Linked DNA regions of Astyanax mexicanus. The protein of the gene in region 3 interacts with the protein of the main gene of each other region in a pairwise test. Links are inferred from orthologs where the notes say so. Each region holds a gene or a part of one and is shown on either strand. Other genes may lie near its edges.

Region 1 (7,767 bases), on a different chromosome or scaffold from region 3:
AATAAGGAAATGTGACAGGGGGACATAACAGTAGAATATGAGGACTTTATGCTTTATCCTCTACAGTGAGTGTGTGTATTATACGTAGTCATGAAAATCTTTATATATTTAAACATATATTTCATTTTTTAATTTCAGCTATAATAAAAGAATAGTTATATAACTAAATACATACAACAGAAGAAATGTCTTAATACATTTTTGGAATGCATTTCATCAAAACAAAATCTTCTAATAAGTAAAAGATACTTAAATAAAGGTTACACCATATGCCCTAAAAGCTGGTATGATAAATACTGCATGCTCTCTCGAATGCTCAGTGTTTTCTTACATTATATTATTTCCCAAAACATAGTGTGTGAGATGTTTCAAGCTGAATGTTGTGCATTTTTGTTCATACCTTAACCAAAAGTGTTTTTTCATCGTACTCAAACACTCGAATGCCAGGGTTATTTGCTCCATCATCCACTCCAGGCAGTGTTGTTTTCCAAGGTGTAACTCCAGGAGTCAGGAACATGGCACTTATTGGAATTCCTGTGAAATAAATTGCTTTATTTTTTTTTAATAGAAAATCCAGGAATAAAAGTATAGCCCAGGTTCTCATTTTAGTATCACATTTCTGCATTAAAACAGTTTTTTAATTATTTTTACATTTTTTAATTATTGTTTTTTACTAGTCACTATTCATAGTGACACACCTGCTTTATCGTAGAACAGTCGAAAGCTGTCAGTGTGGTGATGACCAAAAAACTGGCCAATAATGATATCATGGTGCTTCTGAATTAGCTCCAAATAGTGTTTATTGAACTGCGGGCGAAACCACGGCTTGTGTCGCTTCTTCTCAAAAAATCCAGGGGGAACATGGCCAACGATGTATACCTAAATAAGAAAAATAAAACAATTATATGACAATAGCAGGAATGCATTTCTAATAATTACATTTCACATAAAAAATTTAAAAATCCATTTAAAAAAATATTCCACTCTTGAATTCCAATTCAACAAAACAAAAGATATGTAACCTTTTCCATGTTCTTTGCTGCTTCAGAAAGCACTTGGTCTGCCCATCTAAACTGGTCTGCTGGATCATTGATATTTTCTGTGATTTTGTTTTGGTCATAATACAGATTAGTGTTGAGAACCAAAACCCTGAGACCAGTCTGATTCAGAAGTTTCTCTGTGTAATATCCACCTGAAAACAGAACATTGAGGATAAAGTATATGTTTGAATGTCAAAAATGTTCTGTATTTGTTGCTGCCTAGTGAGGTGGCTAGGTGCGGTTTTACCTTTTTTAAATGTATCTCTGGATGCAGGATCCAGCCAGCTTTCCCACTGTTTTTGTATTTGTTCATAGATGCTGTTTTGCTCAGGTGGCAGCTGACTCTTTGGATGGTAGTCATGATTGCCCAGAGCTGAGTATACTTTGGTGGCTGTGGAGAAAACATACAAACAACTTAAGTTACCATATCCAAAGTGCTTAGTACCAGATTCAGTACATGTTTTTTCAATGCATTTGTGTGGCACGTACAAGGAAACAGCTCTTTTATGATTTGGGTTAGGTTTCCTATTATTCTCAGCACTGCTTCTTCTCCCAGGTCCTCATTAGGCACATGAGGTGTATCATCTCTGTGGAACATAAATGAAATAGTTCTAAATGCTGGATAAATACAACATTTAATTTTGTTATAAAATTAGATCTAAATAATTCAAATCAAATGGTTTATGTATAAAAGTATAGAATGTTTCCAATTTCTACATTCTTCCTCTTATCTAATGTGCTTGAACATTAGCTAGAGAACAAGAAAACAGGGCACTGTGTAGAATTTTACTTTTAAGATGATACCTGTAAAGACAGTGCTTACCCTGTCCAAATGATGAAGTCTGGATCAGGCAGGATATCCCTCATGGCATGCATTGATGAATTAATGAGATCCCACGGTGAATCACAGAGATAGTCTCCAAATTTCCCTGCATCAGGAGTAGGACGATTCCCACTTGAGTTACAAACTGATGCTGAGTTCCCATTTAAACTGTAGGTCGGGTCCCAGTGGAGGTCTGTGATGTGCCAAAAGCTCCCTAACATAACAAATATAAAGTAAATATTAAATGAAACACAAACACAAAAAGGTTAAATTACATTGTCAGTTGATTCCTTTTGTCTATTTTTTATTTCAGACGTAACCTGGGCATCTGTATGTTTCTTCAAATGGTACAATATTCATTTTGTTCTCTTTTTTACATTTACAAAGCTCCGCTTAGAGCTAAGATCCAGTTACATTTTTGTCCACTGAATATGAACTAGAACTGTCTCAGATAGTATGTGAAAAATTTCAGACAAACATCTTGACTCACCTGTCAGCACTTTGCCTTGCCCAGAGACGGTGAAAACACTGAGAAGGGTTACTTTCCAGATGAAGTCCATGTTGAGACTCGTTTAACTGTAGCTGTAACTGCCGGTCTTGGTATATGGAATAAGTGTTATCCAACTGGAAAGGCATGCAGTTGTCAGCTGATAGTAAAATGAAAGATAAGATAGGCCAACTGGAACCTCAGAACTCACCCATGCCAACATGTGTATCAGGATGATTTTTAACTAGTGAACTATAGATCAGTGTTTATAAACTGGAAAGTTTGATATATGATCTATTTATCACTGGTCAGGAATAACAGTAATTCCATTCATTTAACAGCCTAAACAAAAGTACAATGGGGACTTTGGCCGAGCTCTGGAAGTTGGACGCAATTAGCTGGTATGTGTTTCAGAAGGTTATTTTTGGATAGTGTTTCCGACCCTAATCTGAACACCAGTAGAAGCACTAGATAAAAAAGAATAGCAACTTAATTAAAATAAATGAATAAATTAATTAAGAAATCTAAATAAACTCCCTGTTATATCATAGAATCTGATAAACATCAACTTATGGTCCACAGTTCTATTCTCTGTTCCATGCTGCAGTTTTTAGTAATCTTATCTATATCAATTTTTTAAATATTACTGAAACACCTTAGATTGATAACTGCCATATTACAATTATAATCCTATTTTTACATATGTTTATGACTTTCTTTGTTCTTTGTCTTCATTAGATTACTACAGAACTTTGGGCCATGTTTAAAGCCATAATCAGAATCTTCAATATTACATAAATATTGTTTAATATTGTATAGTTATTGATGGCAAACATTGCTGTGTTAACACGTACCAAAAAAAACATGGTGATATATGTTTGACAGACCCTTTTAAAGCTTCCTTCCTTTAACTCATAAAGTTCTTAAGTGACATACATGTAAGTGTGCTGTATTAGTACTTAAGATAAAACTAAATTAGCTTAATTTTTTGCTTCTACAGCTTGGTTCTATTCTGTTCTATCCATGTTAACAGTTAAAATGCTTTAATGAAATGTTTTACATTTAATAGATCGGTCTATCAGTTTATAGAACAAAATGTTAAAATCAAGTTCTGAAACTGTTGCCCTCTATGGCACAGTGTTGCCCTCAGACAACAAACCCAATTTTGCTTATTACAAAATAATGTAGCCTATTTTTATGTATTTATTTTTAATATAATGTTACGAGGCATATCTATGTCCAATAAAATGAGACATACAAGTGGGTCATGAATAAAAATATGTATGTGCAAGAAATATAAAGTTAAAACAGATAATTGTATTTTATATATCCACAAGGACTTTTAAGCTTTTAAAATTATATATTTAAAAAAAACTGAATGAGCTGCTCACAGAATTTACCTGGAAACAATCAAGAAACTACTTAAAACTATTGAGTTTCTTTGATTTTATCATGTTCAAGAATATAATCAAGTGAAAGATGGGTAATCACAAGCCATCAAACCAAGCTGAACTGCTTGAATTTTTGCACCAGGAGTGGCAATAAAGTTATCCAAAAGCAGCGTGTAAGACTGTTGGAGGAGAACATGCCAAGAACATGTTTTCTTTGCATTATTTGAGGTCTGAAAGCTCTGCATCTTTTTTTTGTTACTTTTTTTTAATACTTGCACATGTCTATTATTTGTTTCATGTAAGTGCTTGTATGCATGCTTGTTCTTATGCACTATACCTTCTGTCTATGGCTGTGTTGTTAAGCGCTTTGAGTTTTCAGGAAAGGCATTATATAAATTAAATATTATTATTATTATTATTATTATTATTATTATTATTATTATTATTATTATTATTATTATTATTATTATTATTATTATTATTTTATTTCTGCCAATAAATGCTCTAAATGATAATATTTTAATTTGGGATAAATATTGTCTGTAGTTTATAGAAAAAAACAACAATGTTTATTTTACTCAAACATATACCTATAAATAGCAAAATCAGAGAAACTGGTATAAAACTGAAGTGGTCTCTTTTGTTGTTGTCACACAGTTGTGTCAATAAAGTTTTTTAAAGGCTGAATTTCGCGGGAATATTTTGTCACGCATGCGCGCGGATAGAGAGTTCTGCGCGCGGAGTCCGACTGAACAACAGGGAGAGATAGAGGAGCTGCTTTCTGACCCAAACCCATAATAAATACACCTCTCCTCACAGCCAGAACATGTGGAACCAAGGTATGCAGCTCTGATAACTTTCTGCTAAGAGCTTGTTTACGCTAGTTAAAATATTTTTGACAGATCTAAGCCTGTTAGCGTAAGAGCTAGCTAGCAAAAGAAGACAAGGCGGGTTTAATAGCTGGGTTTACTAGCAAACAGCATTAACGTAAATATTTTCTTTAAAACATAAGGTACTTAAACACGGCGCTGTTCACGTTTAAGCTGTCAACTTGGTCAACAATATAAAAGACAGCAGTGCCGACAGTAGCTCACTATCTAGTTGACTTAGTTAGCTAACGGTAGCTAACAAAGTTTCCACTGTTACAATATAGCGGAGTTAACGTACCTAGCTAAGCTAGTAAACTAACTAGCCTGCTAAGTTTGTCAGTTGGCACAGACTAAAACTGAAACAAAAGAAAACCTCCTACATATGTGAAATTGATTCCCTTTACTAACTCTGACCCCTTTTTTGTACTTATTTATTAAGGTAGGTTGTAGGTTTTGGCCCTACAACAAGTCTCTAAATATTATTGTTTTCTTGGCTTTAGGGGCTTCCATTCATCAAAAAAAACTTTTACGTACAAATATACACAAAGACACATCATAACTAAATAAGTTACATCTCTGGAAACTTCAGTTTCTGAATCAGTTTCTCTGATTTTGCTATTTATAGGTATATGTTTAAGTTGTGTTATTATTTTTATTTTTTTTACATTCCAGGTTTTACGGACAAAATTTCTTCCAAACTCCAAATACATGTCACTTAGAGCGTGAGAGAAATGAGAGAAAGATGCAGAGCTCTCAAACTTCAAATAATGCAAAGAAAACAAGTTTATATTCATAAAGTTTCAAGAGTTCAGAAATCAATATTTGGTTGAATTATCCTGGTTTTTAAAAACAGTTTTCATGCATCTTGGCATGTTCTCCTCCACCAGTCTTACACACTTTATGCAACTCCTGGTGCAAAACTGGTGCCAAAGCAGGTCATTATTTTTAAGTGGCCTCTTTTTTTCCTTCTAGAGCTGTAACCTGGCAGTCAACGAATAAAATTTAAAATAGTTTGTTTATATCCCCTTCTGTTGCACAGTATCATGTTGCACATCCACTTGCACATGTTGCACTTGCAACTTACTGAGAACTTCTTGTTTTATATTGCAAACCAGCTGTCCAATCTTCCCTCTCTGTAGTCCTCCACTCCATTTACGTGTTGGTTTATTGTTGTTTCTACTTATGTCTTGTTTTTGATTGATTATATATTTAAATGTCTCATTCTCTCTTGTATCTTCATGTTTCATGTGAGCAAGCACTTGTCAAAGCATTTCGCTGTTAGTTGTACCATATATGACTGATTGTAACATAAACTCTGAAATCATTAACTTGACAACAAAGACATATAATTCATTGTTCCCAAAGGAGAATTTTTCCTTGGACAAAAAAAAAACAAATTTGCATTAATTTTAAAATTAAAATATTGTATAAACCCTGGACATTATTTTATACATTCAATCTAACCCAGCACAGACTGTATTACACAAGCCTAGAACTTACTAACAAACATTGTCTTTAAACCAACAAACATTAGCTATATATGCAGTTGTCTTGGCCAAAAAAAAAATTGTACTTAATCAGGTCTGATTGTTTTATTTCTGTATATTGCAAGTAGGATTTAGGGGGTAATACACTATTCCTTTTATTTGGCATTCAGCATGTCATCAGTTTTTTTTTTTTTTAATACTGAAGTGTAGCAATTAATGTTTTTTCTTTCTTCTCTTTCAGGAACTTACGGCGAAGCTAGCATGGGTGGTGGGTACACACAGTCACCAGGGGGCTTTGGCTCACCTGCTGCCTCGCAAGGAGGAGACAAAAAAGGGGTTAGGCTTTACTCTTATATATGCATACAAATGTTGACATTTTTAAATTGTAAATCAGTCATTTTTATGACATAGCTTATGTAGTTGATGTCTCTCTGACACACCTGCCATTATGTTTTATGTAGCGGACACGTGCACAGCAGATAGTTCCCTGCACAGTTTCACAGCTCATGTCTGCGGCCCAAGCAGAGGATGTCTTCAGAGTGGGTGATGTTGAGGTTGCTCAGGTGAGTTTATTATCAGTCAAGAAGTAGTGTTTATCATGTGCTTAGATTTTTACTGTAAAGCTGAAGATATTTTTCTGACTGGAAAATATATTTTTGTAAATATTGTTATTTGTGCTGCCTAGGTCACGATTGTTGGGATCATTCGAAGCACAGACAAATCCATGACTAACATTCAGTACAAAGTAGATGACATGACAGGTTCCCCAATGGATGTGAAGCAATGGGTTGACACAGAGGTTAGAGCAAAGCAGTGTTTTTGGGTTAAAGTCTTTGTATTTATTAAATGTGCTGATTTTAACTGCTAGTGAAACTTTCTAATTTTTTAGGATCCCAGTGTGGATAGCTCAGTCATCCCTCCTAACACATATGTCAAGGTGTCTGGCAACCTGCGGTCCTTTCAGGTCAGTATCACTAAATGCATATATGATCAGTCACTTTTCATATAGACTCTATTATATTATGTTTTTGGAAAATAATTGCAATTTAAAAGCTATGGCGCAGAGGTTATTGGAATGCTTTTGCCGCTCCAGTGCTCACACCTGTCACTGAAACACATTCTCATTAGTCATTAAAGATATTAAATATGCTGCCTAACAGCCCTCATCCATGAATAAACACACTGCTTTCAATAAAATGTTATATTAACTGGACCTATCTAAAAAACCTTCTGCTGGATTTGCATCTGTCTTTACAGTTTGAGTATCGTTATCATAACACATGAGTATGAATTACAGATGAGCACAAAAAAAACTAAAAATAAATAATAATGTAAAAGTTTATGCTACATTCCTTCACCAAGTTAAAAATCATTTTATATTAGAAACTCCAGAAAATCACCATGAATGTACATAAATGTACAATCCGTCTGTACGTTTAAAATTGCATTGCTTTTTTAACTGTATCAGCAGAACAGTTAAATATTGTTCATAAATTTGCACAATGCATAATAGGACATGGCAATATTGTAAAAGCAACAGTATGTAGCATTTGTAGTTTTAACATCAGTGTGATGCTCCACTGACTTGCAACAGGGATAATGGAATCTATCATTGCTATTACAGGCCTGGCCTGCCAGTTTTTGCACCTGTGTCCCTAAATTCATCAAAT
Region 2 (8,042 bases), on a different chromosome or scaffold from region 3:
TTGGTGGAATAACCCTGGTTTTTAATCACAGTTTTCATGCACCTTTGCATGTTCTCCTCCACCAGTCTTACACACTGTTTTTGGATAACTTTATACCACTCCTGGTGCAAAAATTCAAGCAGTTCAGCTTGGTTTGATGCTTAGGCTGTGATCCTCCATCTTCCTCTTGATTATATTAAAGAGGTTTTAAATTTGGTAAAATCAAATAAACTAATCATTTTTAAGTGCTCTCTTATTTATTTTTAGAGCTGTAAATGATACTGGACATATATAATCTGTATTTAGTAGATATTTAATTGGAAATTAGAACAATATAAATTCTGCTTTTGCTACAAATAGAACAAAATAAAAATAATAATAAAAATAAAATAACACAATATTTTCTGGTATTTTTTGCAATAAAAGATTTTAGTGATATTATTGCCTATAATACTATATGTCACACCTCTATTTTGAATCACTGATTAATTTGTGTATCGTATTGTATTTATTGTATTTTTATATTTTTAAGTATTATACCACTGAGCATTATGTCACAAGTTATAATTTATTTTTATTTTTCTCATTAAATTGGCTTGGAACGTTTTTAGGCTTGGGACATTTCCCCATAGGAATCCGTTTAAAAGTGTCCCTAAACTTTTGTCAAAAATTTCAAACTGCTCTACAATAACTTATTAGCTAGAACCATGAAAATTGATACTTGAACTTTGAACTTTTTACAGAGTTTCAAACTTGCAAAACTTTGCAAAAAGCAAATTTTCCCCTTTAGGAATCAATAGGGGGCCCAGAGTTCCATCTCACACACCAGCCTCCATACACACACACAGTTTGTTTTCCAGAATAAAGGGCCATATTCAGATTCATGTGAAGACCTTTAGACCAGATAACGAAGCTCCAGGAAGTATTTTTAATAGAATTATTTAAAAAGGTTTTCTCTTTTTATCTGCTGAATTGATGTTTAAAAAGGAACACACCTATGCCCTGTACAAAATAGTTTGTGTGTCTGATTTGTATCTAAATTATTATATTTTTCTGATATGATGCCTCCTAGGAACTCTTCTCAAATTAATTAACAGTCTGTGTTTTTTAGGGTAGGGGTGTGGCTTAACACCTCTAAACCTCTGATCCTAGAAACCCCTGCTCTAATCTTTTGGCCTTTGATGGCTTTTGTTGATTTTATAATAGTGATAGGCCATAGACTGTCTTTATCATTTGTTGCTGTTTTACATCAGTGGGTTTTGTATTGAGAGGTGAAACACGTTCCCTGCACCAGATGGCGCTATGTAGTTAGAAAAATAGATGATTTGTGATACTAAAATACCTCATTGTACATACTCACTGTATAATAATATATTGTGATCTGCATGACAAAAGCAATTGATGATTTGGGAAACAGCAGACAGTTATATACATTAATTTGCTGTTTTTTATAAAATAAATGAGAAATGGCTTCTGAGATGTGCACAAGTGACTGGGTGATGTGCAGTTTAAACAACTGGTTTTGAGAAATTCGATTCTGATGTTACAGATGCTCCAAAGTGAGAGAGGAAAAACTGTATTTAAACATTCTGTAGTTTTTCCTGTGAATCATAAAACAGTCTTAGCAGTTACACATTACTGTTTATGAGAACCTGACTACAAAAAATTGGACAGAATTCACCTTCATTATTTTACTGTTTATATAGTAAATTATTGACAGACCCTGTCATTGTACCACAGAACAAAAAGACAAGACTGTGAGTACATTGTGTTTCATCAGGTTAAAGCTAGCCTCATCCAGGGGTCTGGTTTGTTTCATTCCAGTTCTGTTATGTTACATTCCATAATTTACATTGTGGCTTTTTTAATCACAATTATTGTTATTCTGGAAAATATACAAATATGAATACATATCAGATGTACGTTTCTTAAGTCACAGCAATTGTCAGACCACAGATCACCTACTGTACTGTATATCATTATACACTGATCAAGCAAAGCGTTAGATTTTTGTATCCTTCTCCTAAACCATGATGTTAAACAATCTTTGTTTTTGGGTCATTTGAGAGTTGTTTTAAGGTTCCCATGTTGCCACTTTTCAGAGAAGATGAAAAACTGGCAATTGTTCACCTAAACCCTTTCTTATAATTGAATTCATCTGTGTATGTAGGTCAAGGGCTTATCAAACAAATTCTGTGCTCCATTAATTAGTGTTCAAATCAATAAAACACCAAATTTATACACTTTTTTTTGTTTAAAGAATTATTGAACAGTCTGTAAATCCTATAAACTTCATTGCACTCCTCAAATATCACTGTGTTCGTCTGCTATGTGATATATTTACCTAAAATTGATGATCCAAACAACCAATGATTTATAAAGGAAAATCATGAAAATTATCAGAGGTGCCCAAACTTTTTCATACCACTGTAGATAAGTAGATAAAATACTTTCTTTACCCTGTGCCTCCGGAACTTTCAAAACACTCCAATGTGAACTGTGTGTGAAAACATTGCTCTGGGAGTTCTCCCTGTAGTTCTGGGAATTCCCTTACTGAATGTTCCTGGACAATCAGAGCTGACCCATAAAAGCTGACTCACTAAATTATTATAATGGTTTCAGTTCAACTCCGTCGTTCTCACACTTCACACTTCTAAAAACTGGACTGAATATGGAGGGAAAGCTGCACAGAGACCAAGCATGAAGCTTCAGGTAAGTCTGTATATATAACTCACACACACACAGACATTCTACAACCCAACTGCCAAAACAGAATGAGTTTAATCTAAATGCTTTAATATAAAATGTTTGGATGGAAAACAAAACAAAACAAAACACTAACTGGCTTAGACTTTGCCCAGCCATAAAAGCTGAAGTACTTTAATTACAATCAGCTACTATAGAATGACTTTAAAAGTAGATAGTCTTACTACCTTTAAAACTAGAACTAAAACAGCCTGTCAGTCTATACTAGGATATAAAATATGTGGATAAGTGATGTAACTTAGTGAACTGTGAATAAACTAAGCTAACAAATATATAACCTATAGCTAGCTTAGCTAACAGACAACATGAATAAATAGGTTACTTAGCTTCTGCTTTTAGCTATAGTTAATGGTTAGCTAACTTAGCATTGCTCTCTCTCATACTCAGACTGAGTCGTTCTTCTGATTCGGTTCAGTCTGGTTATTTCAGAATTGATTCATATGTGTTCAATTAAACGTCTACTGTGTAAAATGTACATTAATTCACATTTATTTAAGCACTACTTGGACTTGAATCAGCATTTCATTACCGAGTCATTTGCTGAACCGAATTCGCACAATGGAATAGATGAAATCTGAATCAGTGATCTGAATTGAACTGAACCAAACAGTTTGATTCACTGAACCACTGACTGTTCGTACAAATCGGTTGGTTCTCTTAATGCTGTCCATACACTACAAGACTTTAGAAGGACTCTGAAAAGACTTTTAAATAGACTAAAGTCCGACTCCCTCTCACATCTAAATACAAGATACAGACTTTTTACTCACAGACTAAGATTTTGCAAAGGCTGGGAATCACTTTTTGCAAGACTGCAACTAGACTCTTTCTAAAAATATTTTCCATTATGCTTCTGGTGGAGTTTAAATACAATACATATTAAGTTACAAATAATGTGTGTATCAATACTGTGATTTATCAGAGACTCACAACTTTTGTCGCCATAAACAGTTTACTTTTCTGCCACAATGTTAGTTCTTGATACATGTTTAATAGAATACATTTTGTATTCAACTCTGCCTATAAGCTTCTTTCCCCCTTTTTTGCCTCAACCTTGTACAACCTTGTTTAACTTTAAATATAATGACTTTAAATTGCTACCTGTGTTTAAAATACTGTACATATTAAAGTAAGAACTATATAAGGCATATTAACTGCAAAATGTGTTCTTTTTCAAATCATTTGGAAACACTTGTGTAAAATATTATTGCCTTGCTGCTTCCCGTAGCTCTCCTATTGGTTGTTGACATTGTTTACGTCACTATTTGCGTGAGCCAGGTCTCAATATTAAACATGGTTGATTTTATCTAAACGCCGGGACATGAAAAAGACTGACTAAAATTTTAAATCTTAACCACCTTATACTAAACGATCGAGATGAGGCAACCTCTATTTGACTCTATTTGACTATATCATAACTCTCGTGATTTTAACCCGACTTTGGAAATTTGTCTGCGACGGTGAAACCACTTGAAAATCTTTAGGTGTAAGGATGGCAAGTTTATACCAGTGAAATTGTGATTCTTTGCTATACAATGTTAATAGCAAAAAAAGGGGGAAAGAAGCTTATAGGCAGAGTTGAACACAAAATGTATTCTCTTAAAAAATATCAAGAACTAATAGTGTGACAGAAAAATAAACTGTTAATGGGGACCAAGTTGTGAGTCTATGATAAATCACAGTATTAATATACACATTATTTGTAACTTAATATGTAATATGTATTGTATGTAAACTCCACCAGAAGCATGATGGGAAATAATCTCTGAAAGAATCTAGTTGCAGTTAGAGCACAATTTTTAACCTAAAATATGTTTTTAATTATTATTTATTAAGAAAACTCGGAGCTCAGCACCTACCCGCAGCACAGAGAATCAGAGACTGCTGCTGAGGGATGGTGGCTCAGAAGGATCAAAGAGCGTAACTGCAGTTCACCACTTACCAGTAGGGGCCGCCAAAACTCCATTTTAGAACATTAAAGAGTCTAATTTTATGAAATTCATTTAAAACACAGGGATTTTCTTACTCTGTTACACAGTTTTAAAAAATGTGATAGCCAAGTCTGTGACTAGTCTTTAGATTTGAGAGGGTGTCAGACTTTACTCTTTCTGTTAAAAGTCTTTTTTAGAGTCTTTTATGTAGTGTTTATGAACAGCATTACGTGAATGGATGCTAGGGCAGTAGGCGGAACCAAATGGCTTAGCGGAGGAAAGCCGTGTTCTCATTGGTCGACAGTTCTTTGGTCGACAGCACCAATGTCTAATTGGTCGACAGTCACATCATTTATTTATCATGGGCGGGGCTAAACCTGCCGGTTAAATAAATGCTCGGACTCGCTCTTGTCCCGTAGTTCAGTCCGGGTTAGTGTTCAGAGTCCTGAAAGCGATAAAAGATGATTATCGACCGAATCTCCGAGGGCTATTCAGCTGTTCTCGACAGAGACACAGATGTAATGACCAGTCCGGTTCATCTCTGGTCCTTTTACGGCTGCTCTTCTCCCGCCACGGAGCCGAGCAGCTGCAGCGGGCAGCAGTCGCCCTGGTCCCCGGGAGAGTCGGAGCGGAGCTGGGGCAGCGCGGCGAGTCCTCCGCTGACCGAGCTCGGACTGCAGGGCAGCGTTACCGGTACCGTACCTCAAAAAACACACTACTAACGGAAGTCTGAATTATTTAATTATTTACTATAAATAGCTGTAACTGTTAATAATTAGTTTTTGTATTTAACCTAGTTAACACTTTAATACCCTGGCTGTTTCTAGCTGGAGTTTACCACCACCTGTTATACTTAACTTAAGCGGTTAACTTAACCCTCTGTGGTTTTGTGTTTTTAGGCAAAACTATTACGTTGTTCTGTCAGTTTTTATTTTAATAATATAATTTTTACAATAATAATAATAATAATAATAATAATAATAATAATAATAATAATTATATAACTTAATTATTATTATTAATATTATTGTATCTATTTTGTTTTCATTTTATTTCTAAAACGGTTTAATTTAATTTTATTTGCTATATTATGCAGTTAACTGAGCTAAATTAACTACATAACAATCATACTAAAACTAAAGTGGTTATTAATTTTTAATAATGGCTAGCGCTCAAAAAGTTAAAAAAGCTAAAATATTTCTTCTCATCAAATGCTGTAGAGGGTTAAAAAAATGATTGTTTTTGCTAAATTTAAAATGAATTGTTTTGTATTTTATTATTCAAATGCTTATCTGTAGGTTTTTAAAGCAAAAGTTGCTTTGTTTTTGTGGCAGTCTACAGTTTTTTTTAGATAATTAACGAACTGATTGAAATAAGGCGTTACAATGCAACATTTTATATAATAAAAATTATTACATTATTATTTTACTTTCTGAAATATTAGAAATGTGCTTTCATAATATATTTAAGTATATAATATAATGTAATTTTAATTCAAACATACATCATTAACGCACTTCTATTGTGTTGCTGATTACATTTGTAACTTTATTAATGTATTATTTATTACTATTTTGTTTTTAAAATGTTTCTTTTTGTAAATCTTTGAATAAAAGAGGCAATATATAGCATTTATTATTTAACTAATGAAGAAGGTGTAACAATAAGTTCATAGAATAATAACAACAAATTATTATTATTATTATTTGTAGTAGTAGTAGTAGTATTAATTTGTTAACATGAAAATATTTGTAGTAGGTATAGTAACCCAACTGAATAAGATAACTCCAATGTAAGAAGGTGTAGGGAAAGTATATAAAACACAAAGGGCCTGTACAAAGTACTTTCCCCTGAAAGAAAGAGGAACTAAAACAAATACATACATGAGTAATGAAATATGTTATATTTTATGCTTTATTTTGAAACAGATTTTTGTCATTATACTGTATAAATGTTTCCTGTTTCTGTTTATTATGTGGTTTGTAGCTTAATTTGTTTAGATTTGATCTTTGAGCTTCTTAAGATGACGTGGTGTTTTTTTTTCTCTGCAGTGGACTCTCCCCTGGACGTTTTACAGCATTCAAGTCGGTACCAGGGAGTAAGAGTGAAAAATACAGTCAGGGATCTCATTATGCAGAAACGGAGCTGTGACATTCAGGTAGGCATGTACTTCATCACTTGTGTAAATTAAAAACAGTATTCTGATTTTTATCTTTTACTTAAAGAGACTTGGTTTAAATGGTGGCTTCCTTTTTGACTAATGCACATATACATACATTTGCATGGTGGTTATCACAAATAGCTTCAGATATCAGTGTTTCTATTTCTAGAAAACTATTGATATATATTCTCTGTTTTTCTTTGCAGACACAGAAATCTAACAACGAAACAGAATTTCCAGGTAAATATTTTAAGACAAACTACATTTAATGTCTGCTATTTGATGAATATTGTGAATGATTTTTATTCTTGTGTTTTTTTTTTTTGTTTTAGCCATAACACAATTGCTGCAGTCTGCAAAACGTAAATATGAGAGTGACTTTCCTCAAACTGTCCCTAAAAGGCCTGCTACTTCACAAAACAATGTGCTGGTAATTATTTATATTTATATACACATATATGCAGGAGACACTGCACTACACATCTGTTTCAGACATTATAGATACGACTCTAATAATGACTTTAATAACTCTAATAAACCATTGCTTGATTTTTTTTTATGAAAAAAAAAGTGTTTTTGTGTGTAAGGTATCTACAAAAACCCCTGAATAAGTCTGTTCTCTCATTTTTTCTTTTCTAGTCTTCATGTTGTCTCAGCGAGATCATCCCAAAAGAACAAACCATCTGTACAGGTTTTGGTGACCTCTTCAGCAGTGGAGGCCTGTCTATCGACTCTGTGAAGGTACAGAGCAGTCCACTTCCAGAGCCACAGGAGCCCCTGCCCACCTACTACACCACAACCCCCAGCCCCCAGTACTCCAGCTGCCAGCTCTCCCAGGTTCAAGAAAGCCCATACATGTCCCCTTTCCAAAGCCCGAGCCCACAGCAAGGCTTCACGCCCTGTGTGTCCACAGCCGCTCCAGTGTCTTTCTTCCAGTGGCAGATCCAGCAGGAGGAGGAGAAACTAGCCAACTTGACCCCTCAGGACCTCATGTCCAAGGATGCTGATGGAGACACGTGAGTATTCTAGGACTTCTCAGAAAAAAAGCTTAGTAGAGAATGGTGGAAATGGCTCCACAAAGTCTTGCATTTACATTCTGTGAATTAAAATACACAGAAACCTCACTGTTCAAAGAGAAACTAGACAAAGAGGAAGAAGTGATCATAAGGAAACTAATGGTGAACGTTCATGTTTGACAGGTTCCT
Region 3 (7,799 bases):
TATGCGGAGTCTATGCATACATATATATGTCTATGTTATTTTCAGTTCATTTATTGGCGGCGCTCTTAGCTGAAGCTCCTATTATACTCAATAATGAAATTCTGAAATCTTCCTTTTATTTTCAGTCAGCTTAGATTCACAATGTTTTCTTAGAGGTGGTCATAATTAAGGGGATCTGTACCAGGTTTATCTGGCATAAATGTGGCATTAATGTGGCATCTGGCCCCACCCAAGATTGGTATTTATGTGTGTCTAGTCCAGCAGTAAGACAATCGGTGATCGAAAAAAAAAAAACGACCCTAAAATCGTGTCTACTAAAAGTATTACTTTTTTTTAGTTCAGTTTTTTACTTTTTTTTTACTTTCCTGTCCTGACTTCTTGTTGTCTTGATTAGTAAAATATTATAAAGCACTGCAAATGTTGCACATTTAGTGAGATTTTAAACTCATTCAGGAAAAATATTTAAAAAGGACTACAGCACCTTTTTTATCTGACAGTGTGAAAATCAGGAACATTATACACACTGAACTAGGTTCTAGTGGATTCAAATGACTGATCTATAGAGCAGGGGTCAGCAGTTCTTTTCCTGAGGGACTGGGGGACAGGGATTATAGATTGGCATCAGTCCCAGTCATAGACGCCCAGATGTCAGCACAGCGCAATTGAATCAAGTGTGTTTGACATGGGAAGTCACCAAACTGTGCTGGACTCTGGTCTTTGTACACTGTGAACAGATCCTGATCTATATATCTGAACCCTAAATTACTCTTCTATATTTAGTCTATAAATCATTTTCATTTACATTTCTATGATAGGCAATGTTACTCATTCAGCACCTACTGGCTGACCAATATGACCAAACTGGTTGATGAGCATAACCAGTAAGACCTCGCTGGCTGACCAAAACTGTTCAAACAGCAATTCCACCCTGATGATCAGCATGGCCAAACTCATCAACCATTGTAACCAGCATTACTTCAGTGCTTGACCACCATGACCTTGACCCAAATCCAGTGCAAAATCTCCCCACTCTGCTGACAGGTGCTGCCAGGGTGGTTCTATGCACAGGCCCTAGAAGCATATGAAACTCTTTTAACTGACTCACAGAAAATGGATGGATGGGTTTTTTTAGTGGCAGTTGAGACCTAGGTGGAAATACAGAGGAATGCAAAAAGTCTTGTTTTGCAAAATATGTGCTCTTTGAGTTGGTGACGTATGTGTCACAGACCCTTTAAAAGGTGTGGAAAGTTCACTGTTTGCTGAAACTTCACACCAGACCTCAAGCAGCTTGGACTGTGTGTCTCTCCACTCTTCCTCTACTGATGGTCAGTGATGGTTTGGAGAGACATGTCATCTGCTGGTGTTGGTCCACTGTGTTATATCAAGTCCAAAGTAAGTGCAGTGTTCTCATGGAAAATCATATAGCACTTTTTAATGGAGACACAGATTTCATTTTCCAGCAGGACTTGGTACACTGCCCACAATGCCAAATGTACCAATTGGACTTATATGATATTTAAACTTTCTGAGATACTGATTATTGTATTGTGTTTTAATAGGCTGTGAGCCATAATCATAATCAAATTAAATAAACACTTGAAAAATATAAGTTTTACAGAAATTCACTTTTCAATTATTTTCAAATTTTTTGAGATGCACAAGTATACATTCCTGGAAGAACGTACAAGACCACTTCAGTTTCTCTGATTTAACTTTCGATAAGTAAATGTTTGAGTAAAACTAGCATTGTTGTTTTATTCTATAAACTACGTACAACATTTCTCTCAAATAAAAAGTATTGTCATTTAGAGCATTTATTTGCAGAAAATGAATAAAAGATGCTTTCAGACCTTAAATAACGTAAAGAAAACAAGTTCATATTCATAAAGTTTTAAGAGTTCAGAAATCAATATTTGGTGGAATAACTTTTTATGCACCTTGCATAAATGCATAATGCACCTTGGCATGTTCTCCTCCACTAGTCTTACACACTGCTTTTGGATAACTTTATGCCTGGACTTCTGGTGCAGAAATTCAGGCAGATCAGCTTGGTTTGATGGCTTGTGATTGTCCATCTTTCTCTTGATTATATTCCAGAAGTTTTTAATTCGGTAAAATCAAAGAAACTCGTCATTTTTAAGTGTTTTTTTCAAGAGCCATATGTAAAAAGAAAACGGTATAATATATTAATTACTGTGATTTACCATATTGATATTAATCAAAACAGGGTGGAATGTTGTGGTTTTGCTTTGTGTTTAATACATAGAGGGAGGGAAGCTGGGGGAGTGGCGGAGTCCCCTTGCATCCCCTGTATTAACCCATTTCAACCCATCGGTCACAATTGTGACCAAAAAATGTTTTTTAATTATTAGCCTCTAAAAATGTTACTGGTTAATTTCCCAATACTCTATAAGGAAATATTGAAATATTACAATGTTTCAATTAAATGTGGACAGTATCAAATGTTTTGAGTAAATTGTCACATGACCAGAGCTGTTTACTTCCTGGTTGCATCTTGAGAAGAGGATGGCTGCCTCAAAGCTCCCAAATAAAAGGCTGGTAAAGTATGTTAAAATAAACATAGAAACAAATATTTTTGTACACATGCTCTCGAAGTTGTTTAGTTATGATATATGCATTCGTAATTAGTCAAATGTCTTTGGTGTGTTTGCAGAATGAGTAAACATGTAAACAGTCACAATTGTGACCGGTGGGATAGAATGTTGTATCTAGATGCACACATACTAAATATACAAACAAATTTCTTGTTGCATCTTACCTATATATATTTTTATTTTAGGATGACTAATTTTAGGCATGCAACGTTGCTATCATACCTCAAAATGAGAAAGATGCTATTATAAGTTATTGTGATAGTGATGGGTCAGATATGGACTACCATATCTGGTTACTTTATTTTCTAAGTTACTGTAATACAATGTCTGACTGATTGTTGAACAGAATCAAGCACTTCGCTCAGGTGCCTACCTCGTTACTGTATACCTGCCTATTATCAATTTTTTGTTAAATTAGGGAATAACGGTGTTCAGTAAGGAGTAATCAGTAACTAATTACTGTTATCATTTTCAACACCCCGTTACTGCACGTTATTTAGACGCTCAATTAACTATTTTTTTTTAACTTTGCGCATACAGACAAATATGCAAGTGTGTGTGTGTGTGTTGTGTGTGTGAGTTACAAGGGAGGGGAGGATGAGATAACCGCCTAAGCAATGATTGTTGTCTTTGCTGTTGTCTTTGGGGGCTGGGAGGTGGGGGGGGAGGGGGGGGGGGTTACGGAGGCAAGTAACAAAAGTAACCCAGTAGTTACTTTTACTGGTAACCAGTTACTTTTATAGTGGAGTAACTCAGTTAGTAAATCAGTTTCCTTTTCGGAGAAGTAACTACTAACTATAACTAATTACTTTTTCAAAGTAACGTGCCCAACACTGTTTACTAATAGTATACACAACAGTTTACATCATTCCTGAAGTTTTGAATGAAGTATTTGACTGTAATTTACATTTAGTTGTAAATGTTGTACTAAAATATTACACCAACATTAAAAGATTTGCAGTAAAGTACAATTTAAAATGTTTACAAATAAATGTTTCAATACATGTTACACTAAAGTGATGCTGTTGCAATTTGTATTTGAAATAATTAAACAAGGTTAACATATTTTGAACATATTTTGCCACGGGTCTTAGTGTTCCTATGGTGTGGAAAGTCCCAAGTTCCTGATCAAGTATTCTGTTTCAGTGATTGCTGTCAGAAGGCCCTTATTTCAACAAAAAAACTATTTGAGCAACCTTTCATTGAGAATACGCATATCATCCCACCGGTCACAATTGTGACCGGTAATAAAACACACTTTTTCATCTACTTTTCTCATTTTTTTGGAGGAAATAATTCTTGATTATTTCAAAGGGTTACTAATAACACATGATTTGCATATTTGCATGTCTGGGAAAAATTTGGGCATAAATGGGTTAAATGTTTAAAAGTGAAAGTAATGAAGCGTTTTAAAAGTAGAGGTTTTATACAGTAAATCTCGTATAGTTTCGTCTCTGCTTTATTACTACACTATTCCTGAAGGGCTCTGTGGTGTAGAGTCGTGCTGGAGCGGGATTGATCAGGAGGATAAACGTCACGATCCCCCTATCAATATCAACACCTCGCTTTCGCTGTATTGAAGCCGTGATGACGTCGCCGCTGCCAGTAATTCAGATGACTTCCAGCCGGGCTGTTCCAGGAACGCGAGCGCTGCCCCCTCCGCTGCACACGTACGCCAACGACAGCCCGGAGGGAGGAAATGAAGTCGTGTGGGTCAACCAACCCAGACCAATAAACAACTGGCTCGCACAAACCCGCTGGCGGCAGAGCCCGCCTTTATGGTGCTGTTTCTGCGTCACGATTGGACAAAATTCTGGATGTGCAACGCGATTCGTCATACGCGCTGTCAATCACTGCGAAGTTACAGCCGCCCCGCCCCTCCTTCAAGCCAGACCTCTCTGGACTTACATTTTTCAGGCTGTTTCCATAAAGTTAGGATAAGAGTGGTCGTTGAGGGAGTCTGGTATAGCGTTTTATTCGATATTTACACGCTTTGGAAGCAGTTTTGGTTGCCTAATTCACTCATCGGCGGGTCGAAGACTTTTGCCACCCTTTTTTCTGAATTTGCGAAGCACGGATACAGAGGGTAAGTCAGTAGTTAACTAACCTAGGTTAGCTAAGGAAGGCATCCAAGAAACGAGCCAGTTTGAATTTTTCAATTTTTATTTAGCTGACTATTCTTTGTCAGTGAAATACAGATAGATAGATACACGTTTTATTTTTAATAAGTGGACTAATGTGCGCTGGGGGACTCAGACTCAAACCCACAGATACAGAATAACTGATCTGAAAGTTGGTTGATGTTGGGCTGTGTAGTTCTGAGAACACGATGCTCCTGCATGTGTGTGTGTGCGCGTGTGTGTGTATGTGTGTATACCGTGAAACATAGCTGTGTGTGTCGTCTATATTACTTTGGCCCTTACATTATACATATAATTTATGTCTGATTGGATGAATGTGATATATCCAAATAATTCTCTCTCTCTCTCTCTCTCTCTCTCTCTCTCTCTCTCTCTCTCTCTCTCTCTCTATCTATCTATATATATATATATATATATGTATATATATATATATATATATATGTATATATATATATATACATATATATATATATATATATACATATATATATGTATATATATATATACATATATATATGTATATATATATATGTATATATATATATATATATATATATACTATACATTATTTGGATTAGTATCTATTATTTATTTATTTGTTTGTTTACCTTTACCACTAAGTAAGGCATCATCCCGTCTATGATGCGTCTATGACACATTATAAATGTGTATGTGTGTGTTTGTTTGTTTTGGTCATTCTATTATTATTCTTTAAAATAATTAATGTGAAATGTTTGTTTTTTGTTGTAAATAGACGACAACTAAGGTAAAAATACTAAAGCAGTGTTCAACTCCTAAATGCATCTTTATGGTGTTACTCCATGTGCAAATATGTCCAATATATCTCTGTGTGTGTGTGTGTGTTTGTGTGAGAGAGAGAGAGAGAGAGAGAGAGAGAGAGAGAGAGAGAGATACAGAGTGATGCAGGGAAAAGAGAGAGAGAGAGGGAGAGATAAACAGAGTGATACAGGGAAAGAAAAAGAGAGATACAGAGAGTAATACAGGGAAAGAGAGATATAGAGAGAGGTACACACAAAGTGACACAGGGAAAAAGAGGTGTACAGAGAGAGAAAGCGAGATAAACCAAGTGATATAGGGGGGAAAGAGAGAGAGAGTAAGAGAGAAAGAGAGAGCATGAGAATAACCGCAGGCTCAATCTACGCTTTTCAAAACCGTTACATTTAGCGGGTGGGGGGGGGGGGGGGGGTTGGGGGAATGTCCCATCCAGGCACCGATCAGCAGCCGTTCCTTATCCTAAAACAATATGAACACTTAAAAATATACTCAAATATATACTCAACAGAGGCTGGTCCAAAAAAGAAGGCAGCGAACTGTAATGGTAGCTAGAGCTACATCTTCTTAATTTGATGGAATTTATATGCTGTGTTTTTGTATTTACGTTGTATAAGCAGCACATCACATTCACAAAAATGAGACACTAAAATCTGTTTGAAATCACTTTATTTTTCACCTCCTTTGGGGCTGTCCCTGTCTACCGTGACGTCACGGCTTCCAGTATACTGATGGAGGGAATCCTCTCGTTTCGTTTCTGAACACTGCCTGCTGTGAACAGTGTGTGTGTGTGTGTGTGTGTGAGTGAGAGAGAGAGGAGGTGCTTTCACACTGCACGCCGTAGCCGCGCCGCTGTACGCTGACCCCCATCGGATTCATTAGTTTCTCCAGCTGTAGGAGCAGTGCAGAGAGCGGTGCGTTTCCACGCCCATAAACCACGCCTCCACTGTGCTTAACTCTTTCCGCGGTCAAAGTTCAACACGGTTCAACTTTGACCTCGCGACCAGGTCGGACAGGATTAGTTTCGCAGGGGGGGGTCTCTGAAAAATATTTCACACTTATACTCAGTGATAAAACCCTTGCATCAGGACTGCAATTGAAAAAACAGGTGGACCAGTGTGTTTTTTGCTTGTGTTTACGCTTATTTCCATGAAAACGGGCACACCAACATGTAATTATGGCAGGTGACAGTGGACAAATAGCTATTTCATTAAACCTGAGGTGATGAAATTCAAAGATGTGCATCCGAACAGACTAAAATTACTGGTTGACCGCAAAGTTTAGCAAAAAACAGTAGGTAATGCTGCATGTAATTTTTTCAGAGGACGTCTGAGAAAAACACATACGTGGTCGTTCCAGATGGGAATAAAATCACAGAGGACCCCCCATAAAATAGAAAATTACACCAGGACCCCCTGAGAAATTAAACTCGTCCGGATAGGGCTTTTAAAATAATTTATATTTTTTTGTTTACTTAGACACCCGACAGTAGCAAAACCTGCATAATTAGAAGGAATTATTAAAATTAATCATTCATATTTAGAAAGATAATTATTACTGGCCACCTTATTTTCTGTTTAAAATATCCTTTATTAACCTATACCACAGTTAGTTCTGACCCTGCAATTTGATTGGCTGAGAGGCGTTTTATAAGCGACATTATCAGCCGGTAATGCACCGTAACTTAAGCACTCCATATATTACTCCGCAACATACTTATCTTTTATTTTAATAATAACAACTCTTATCATAATATTGATGGCTGATCGTGTGTGTAATAATGCGTATTCTTGAATTGCTTATTTGTGTGGACCACATAAAATTTGCAATTATTCCGGATTAAGCGTGTTTTTTACAGTTAATGTAAAAAAATGTACATGAACAGAACAACTCAATGAAAATAAATTAAACTTAAAAATAAAGCACATTCAGCTTCTACACTTCTGGAAAAATGCAAGAGTACATACTCCTGAATATTCCTGAAACAAAATTACATGGATTGTCTACACTGTAGAAACACACCAAAATAGAATACTTTGATTGAAACTGAACAAAATAACCAAATAACATCCAAATAAATACAATTCTATAAATTCCAAACACTAAATACTAAATGTGTTTTTTCACCATTTTATAAGGTTAATTACTTAAATACATTTAAAAATATTTACAAATTTATTAAACACTGAACTTTTAACATTCTAGCAGACAAACCCAACACAACACAACATTACTCATTTAGTGACTTAAA

Evidence for each region.
Region 1: the proteins of stat3 (region 3) and rpa2 interact in a two-hybrid assay, tested with the Homo sapiens proteins (2 studies listed by BioGRID and IntAct, with this or other methods). The link is inferred for Astyanax mexicanus from reciprocal best matches to the Homo sapiens genes STAT3 and RPA2.
Region 2: the proteins of stat3 (region 3) and nfkbiz interact in a two-hybrid assay, tested with the Homo sapiens proteins (2 studies listed by BioGRID and IntAct). The link is inferred for Astyanax mexicanus from reciprocal best matches to the Homo sapiens genes STAT3 and NFKBIZ.

What each region holds. Positions count from the first base shown.
Region 1 is NC_064413.1:34,489,868-34,497,634, forward strand, and holds the start of rpa2 (replication protein A 32 kDa subunit), read left to right. Parts: upstream 1-4,423; 5' UTR 4,424-4,567; coding exon 4,568-4,580; intron 4,581-6,338; coding exon 6,339-6,433; intron 6,434-6,558; coding exon 6,559-6,660; intron 6,661-6,782; coding exon 6,783-6,896; intron 6,897-6,986; coding exon 6,987-7,061; intron 7,062-7,767. Other genes in the region: smpdl3b (acid sphingomyelinase-like phosphodiesterase 3b), read right to left, coding at 401-534, 699-879, 1,023-1,192, 1,288-1,431, 1,530-1,627, 1,864-2,077, 2,354-2,423. UniProt on the Homo sapiens protein: As part of the heterotrimeric replication protein A complex (RPA/RP-A), binds and stabilizes single-stranded DNA intermediates that form during DNA replication or upon DNA stress.
Region 2 is NC_064428.1:19,854,534-19,862,575, reverse strand, and holds the start of nfkbiz (NF-kappa-B inhibitor zeta), read left to right. Parts: upstream 1-4,661; 5' UTR 4,662-5,137; coding exon 5,138-5,369; intron 5,370-6,727; coding exon 6,728-6,834; intron 6,835-7,043; coding exon 7,044-7,077; intron 7,078-7,169; coding exon 7,170-7,267; intron 7,268-7,476; coding exon 7,477-7,853; intron 7,854-8,036; coding exon 8,037-8,042. UniProt on the Homo sapiens protein: Involved in regulation of NF-kappa-B transcription factor complexes. Inhibits NF-kappa-B activity without affecting its nuclear translocation upon stimulation.
Region 3 is NC_064426.1:26,731,516-26,739,314, reverse strand, and holds the start of stat3 (signal transducer and activator of transcription 3), read left to right. Parts: upstream 1-4,491; 5' UTR 4,492-4,701; intron 4,702-7,799. UniProt on the Homo sapiens protein: Signal transducer and transcription activator that mediates cellular responses to interleukins, KITLG/SCF, LEP and other growth factors. Once activated, recruits coactivators, such as NCOA1 or MED1, to the promoter region of the target gene.